2 linked regions of the Saccharomyces cerevisiae S288C genome follow. The gene in region 1 interacts genetically with each later gene. Each region holds a gene or a part of one and is shown in the gene's direction. Other genes may lie near its edges.

Region 1 (3,793 bases):
CATAATTAATTGGCATGCGACCTTGTTATTGATATGAATGCCATTATTGTTCAGTCTGTCGATAATGTTTGTGACTTTTGTTTCAAATGCATCTGCAGGTGTACTGCCATTATATTGCAAATTTGCCAGGGTCACAATGTCGTTTGCCTCTTGGGTATCAGATTGCATTTTTTCAATACTTTTGGAAAGAATTTTCATGATATCCGTATAATCAACGGATAGGATGTCTTTGACCCAGGTAGGTAGGAATTGAGAGGGAGCAAATATTTGAAAAGTGTTATACAAGAAGGTGAGTTCATCATCAGTGATCTGACGTACGGGTTTTCCGTTTACTGTCGGAATAATACCACCGAGATTCGAGTTTTGTAAAAATTTGATGTATGTTTTAACCCAATTTGGAAAATCATTAGGTGAGGTTAACATTGGTGGTGGTCTGACATATTTTTTAGTGGATGTCATATCAGAGTCCGCTGAGGATGAATCAGTAAATGTATTACCTGACTCAGGTGATGGAGTGCTCAGAGGCGTTCCAACTGATGATGGATACTGCGGAAACTGTGATTGTGGCCCAGGTGGAAAGTACATAGGCGACATTTGATAAGGTGTATACGGAATCATAGATGGGTGTCCGTAAAATGACCAACCAGATGGATTGGCTTGGTTTTGGGTCATCATGCACTGCTGTGGGTACGGCCCATTCTGTGGAGGTGGTACTGAAGCAGGTTGAGGAGAGGCATGATGGGGGTTCTCTGGAACAGCTGATGAAGCAGGTGTTGTTGTCTGTTGAGAGTTAGCCTTAGTGGAAGCCTTATCATATTCTTGAATTTTGGAAGCTGAAACGTCTAACGGATCTTGATTTGTGTGGACTTCCTTAGAAGTAACCGAAGCACAGGCGCTACCATGAGATATATGTGGGTAATTAGATAATTGTTGGGATTCCATTGTTGATAAAGGCTATAATATTAGGTATACAGAATATACTAGAAGTTCTCCTCGAGGATATAGGAATCCTCAAAATGGAATCTATATTTCTACATACTAATATTACGATTATTCCTCATTCCGTTTTATATGTTTATATTCATTGATCCTATTACATTATCAATCCTTGCGTTTCAGCTTCCTCTAACATCGATGACAGCTTCTCATAACTTATGTCATCATCTTAACACCGTATATGATAATATATTGATAATATAACTATTAGTTGATAGACGATAGTGGATTTTTATTCCAACAGAAGGTGATCTAAAGATTGAGAAACAGTCACCAGATTTAGGGGAAGCTGAAATGCAATGATTGATAATGTAATAAGAAGCGAGAGGGAAAGTATAAAAAGGAAGTGATCAATTTGTGAATAATTTGATAACCGTTGGGATTCTATTGTTCGCAAGGGCTTTATTTTATTATGTGTACAGAATATAATAAAATTTCCCCTGAGAGATATACCAATCCTCAAATTGGAATCGATACTCCTATATAATACAATTACAATTATTTCTCCCTCCCTTTCGTATGTTTCATTATCCTAGTACATTATCAATCCTTATATTTCTGCTTCCATTAAATTTTACGACTGTTTCTCAATGTTTAGATCATCTTCTTACACTGTATATGATAATGTACGAGTGGCATGAATACTACTGAACAGATGATATTTTATAGCTTCATTCCAACAGAAAGAACATAAAGTAATATCGTTACGTAAAACTATCGATTCCCTTTTGACGATTCCTACATCCTCGAGAAGAAGTTCTAGTATATTCTGTGTACCTAATATTGTAGGCTCTAACAACAATGGAATCCCAACAATTAATCATCTTGATTATTTTATTCCCCGCGTTTTAGAGCATCAATCTTGCCAGCTTATAGCTGGTCATTGTCGACGATAATCTCAAGCACAGGGCTAAAAAATAAATTGAAACGGACAGGAATTGAACCTGCAACCCTTCGATTGCAATCTTATTCCGTGGAATTTCCAAGATTTAATTGGAGTCGAAAGCTCTACCATTGAGCCACCGCTTCAACTTTTATTGTTTATATTGACACCTGTATAACAATATAACCACAATAAAAGGTTCATTCAAAGCTCCGGCTAGCATTCGGCGATTAATGAAGAAAGTTAAACCGTGATTTATTACTTCTTGCTCGTTTTTTCCATCATAAGTTCGCACAGAGCAGTATATATAGTGATTTGCAAATATGAATAGCGGTGGTAGTGATAGTTTCGATTATCTTCTTCAATTAACAAAAGCTTTAAGTGCAGAGTGTCGGGCTAACAGACAAGAGACCGATCGAATAGAACTATTGTTAAAGCGCCTTGCCAAACAGTCAGGAATATCTTATGATAATTTGAGCAAAAACATAATTCCAGATTCATGGAAAGATAATGCATCTCAAAAAGCATCTCCCCCCACTGAGGCACAGAAGCTTATCAGCGAAAATTTTAAACTCATATACGAGATTGAAAAACAAGAGTACTTCAATACAAAGGCTGTTGCGCTAATTAACAACATAAATGAGCATTTCTCATATATTAAAAATTTTATCGACGAACAGAATGCAATAAGAGAACGAAATATTGCCACATTTTCATCAGAGAAGCTTGATGAAAGGAACAAAAGTCTTCAACAAAATTACGAGTCATTGAAGACAGAAAATGAAGAAACAAAAAAAAAATTGCATTCAATTATCAAACAGTTTGAAAAACTTTTGAAGGAAGTGGATTGGGATCGTATATCTAAAGATTCCAGAGATTACAGCCGCTTTAAAAAACAGTTGGAATACCTGCAAGACACGTACCAGGTACTGAAATAGCCTACGATGGATCGAACAAAAGTGTAAGCAGACGTGAAATAGCAAACCTTTGAATGCATTTATATATTTTAATATACTTATAACAACGGATAAATGTTTAGATCCCTTTTGAAAAAAAAAAAAAATTAGGATGAACCGAAAAAAATCATACTCGTATTCCTCTATCGTCTTCACTGGCATTATTGTGTAAAGAATTATTACCAAATAACCACCTGAACCACCCCACAGTATCATTCTTTAAATCTTTAAAATAACGGCGGCTCAGCATCTTTAAACAAAGAGCTTCATAGGTGGGGTTGTTAGTGGTCATCAAATCATTTACGCATCTATCATATTCGTCTTTATCACTCTTGGGATCTATTGCAGAGCATATTCCAGTTTTACCCTGTCCCTGAAGAGAGCTTTTCAACCCAATTAATTTGGAATCAAACTGAGCAACACTACTTTCAATATCTCGTACACGAACTTCCAATATCCTCATATCATATTTCAACCTAGATGATAAGGAATTTAACTCTTGCATCTCATGGAGAAGAAGTTGTTGCTTATTGTCAATGTCTTCAAATCTCCCTTCAAACACTTTTGCACCATCTGAATACTTCTTATATAGTTCTTGCAGTCTTTTATATCTTTCGTTGAATTTAGAGTACTGACCAACAGTTCCCTCCTTATTTAATTTACCCATATAATGCTCATCCATTTCTTGTATGTGTTGCTGCGCTTGGATGTCGTATTTCATTCGTAACAAATCTCTAGCTATTCGAACAACAGATGGATCAAATGGTAAATCCCATTTTTCCACAATATTCTGTACAGCAGAAGAAGAGTTGCATCTATACAAACGAGATGACTTTTCCTTCAGCTCTGAAAGATCTTCATAAATGTTGTCGTGTGTGCGATCTTTACAATAGGGAAACGAATTTCTTCGGTAGTATTCTCCTTGATATAATTTGTTGATGCCAAAATTATATGCATA
Region 2 (2,663 bases), on another chromosome or scaffold:
GACCTACAGTCGTTGCTCCTCCTGGCTTTTTTTCCCTTTTATTTTTTTCTGTTTTTACTTCCATTTCTTTTGTGATATTAGCTATCCCTGGTTTGGTCCGCAAGTTTATGACAAAAGATATTAGAACAGGCGATTTAGTGTTATGCAAAGTTGGCTCGTTTCCACCTTGGCCAGCTGTAGTATTTCCACAGCGTTTGCTGCGAAACGATGTATATAGAAAGAGAAAATCCAATTGTGTTGCTGTTTGTTTTTTCAACGATCCAACTTATTATTGGGAACAACCCAGTAGATTAAAGGAGCTAGATCAAGACAGCATTCACAATTTCATATTAGAACATAGTAAAAATGCAAACCAAAGGGAATTGGTCAATGCTTATAAGGAAGCAAAAAATTTTGATGATTTCAACGTATTTTTACAAGAAAAGTTTGAAGAAGAAAACAGGTTAAGTGATCTAAAAGCGTTTGAGAAAAGTGAAGGTTCTAAAATCGTTGCCGGAGAAGATCCCTTTGTAGGTCGAACAAAAGTAGTGAATAAAAGAAAAAAAAATTCAATATCCATCAAAGAAGATCCGGAAGATAACCAGAAATCAAATGAAGAAGAAAGCAAACCGAACATCAAACCGTCCAAAAAAAAGAGACCCACAGCTAATTCGGGAGGAAAATCAAACAGTGGCAATAAAAAGAAAGTTAAATTAGACTATTCCAGAAGAGTAGAAATTTCACAGTTATTTCGCCGCAGGATTCAAAGAAATCTAATCCAGAGAGAAACACCTCCTACTGAGCATGAGATCAAGGAAACTCATGAACTATTAAATAGAATATATGAGAATTCTGACACCAAACGGCCCTTTTTTGATTTGAAGGCCCTACGCGAAAGCAAATTACACAAGCTACTGAAAGCAATTGTTAATGATCCTGACTTAGGCGAATTTCACCCACTTTGTAAAGAAATTTTACTGTCCTGGGCAGACCTAATCACAGAACTGAAGAAAGAAAAGTTGCAAGCGCTACCTACGCCTTGATAATAATACTTATTGAATCAATTCAATATATCAACGTTTCAATATCCAATATTGTTTCATTTCATTTCATTTCAAATAAACAGTGTTTTACCGTTTGTTTTGTTTCCCTTCTTTTTTTCATCAAATGGTAATATTAAATTGATTTAATTATCCATCCATAAAAATTGTATTAATAAGTCATACACGTAATGTCACAACAAAATATCAGGCGTACTCTTGTGACGTACCAAAGCGCTTAGAAACGATAAAGGCCCGGGACAGAAATTTAAACGTCACAAGTGGGTGCAGCCCAGTTAACACTAATGTTAACGCACTTCTAGATACCTCATATATATAAATATTATCTAGAATTTCAAATTTGATATTCCTTTTCTATACTGAATAAACGATAAATACGAAGTTCAGAGTGCGAAAATTAGGGTTGCAGGCGTCTGATCTGAAAAACGTATAATTGATAGTGAAAATTATGCAACATTCTGCAAAGGAAAGTAAACCTTAAAAAAACAAATCTCTCAAGCCTTTAAAGATGAAACTCAATGAACAAATACCAAAAGACCTGTTACGCCTGATTAAAAGTTCCAAGTATGTTCATGTGGCGACATGCTCGTCAAATTGTATACCATCTGTTTCGTTGATGCATTACATATTTGTTTCATCCGCGGAAACTTTCCATAAACATGAGTATAGTATAGAAATAGATTGTAATGACTATATTATATTCACAGTGTTCGAGAAATCAGTAACCTTTCGTAATGTCATGAGCAACCCAAACGTTGCATTGCTATTTCACGATTGGATCACAGCTAAAAATTTAACTCTTCGAAAAAAAAGCGTCCATAGTAAAGATGATTTTTCATTTGTTGAGTCAGAGTCTACAAAATTTAACAACTTTTTACGAGATTTGAACCAAAGTGAATTGAATCAAGTGAGCGCTACTATCAATGGTATTGCTGATATTGTGAACCCTAATAGTGAAGAATCTACTTATTATAGGCGGTTGTTATTAACAGTCAATCCAGACGCAGATATTTTTATACTAGGAGAAGATACAGCCATAATAAAGGTAAATATACAAAAAATAAAAGTCTCTGACATGGAAAATAATACTTCTACATACGGCCAAACAGTACAACCAGTTTAACGGAAATATGATGAAAACTATGTGTACTCTAATTATTATATAAAGCATCTATAAAATGAATCATGAGGATTAGGCCGTGATCTTCGCGCTCCATATATGGAGAATACTTTTAATTTCACAGGAGAAATTAAGATAAATAACTTGAAAAGTCCACTGAGATTGGTGAAAGTGTTTCATCCTCTTTTTCAGTTTCCCTTGAACGATAGGGTGGAGTGGGACAGGCGGGAGATATGTTTTCCTGTAACGGCTGCATCTCTGGTATATTTCCATCCCGATTATATGTTTTCATGGGGCTGGAAGTGAATAATGAATTCGTTCTTCTTATTGGAGACGGGGAAAGATCAATTTTCAAGGGCTTAATCTCATCGTTTTCTCTAGCTAGATTAGACATGGTTCTCCTAGATTTGGTGTATGATGGATGAATGTTTGAAGAATCTAGTAAATCCTCCAAAATCCTGTACTTCTCATTTGAGTAATTCAATGCTTCTTGTAATGATTGT

The links. Genes that interact genetically often act in the same process or in processes that back each other up.
Region 2: mutations in FAR3 (region 1) and YLR456W together harm fitness more than expected from each alone (negative genetic interaction), as found in Saccharomyces cerevisiae (2 studies listed by BioGRID).

What each region holds. Positions count from the first base shown.
Region 1 is NC_001145.3:377,384-381,176, forward strand, and holds FAR3 (Far3p), read left to right. Parts: upstream 1-2,202; coding exon 2,203-2,817; downstream 2,818-3,793. Other genes in the region: YMR051C (gag protein), read right to left, coding at 1-942; STB2 (Stb2p), read right to left, coding at 2,963-3,793. UniProt on the Saccharomyces cerevisiae protein: Participates in the control of the reentry into the cell cycle following pheromone treatment.
Region 2 is NC_001144.5:1,053,522-1,056,184, forward strand, and holds YLR456W (pyridoxal 5'-phosphate synthase), read left to right. Parts: upstream 1-1,548; coding exon 1,549-2,163; downstream 2,164-2,663. Other genes in the region: PDP3 (Pdp3p), read left to right, coding at 108-1,022; NBP1 (Nbp1p), read right to left, coding at 2,291-2,663.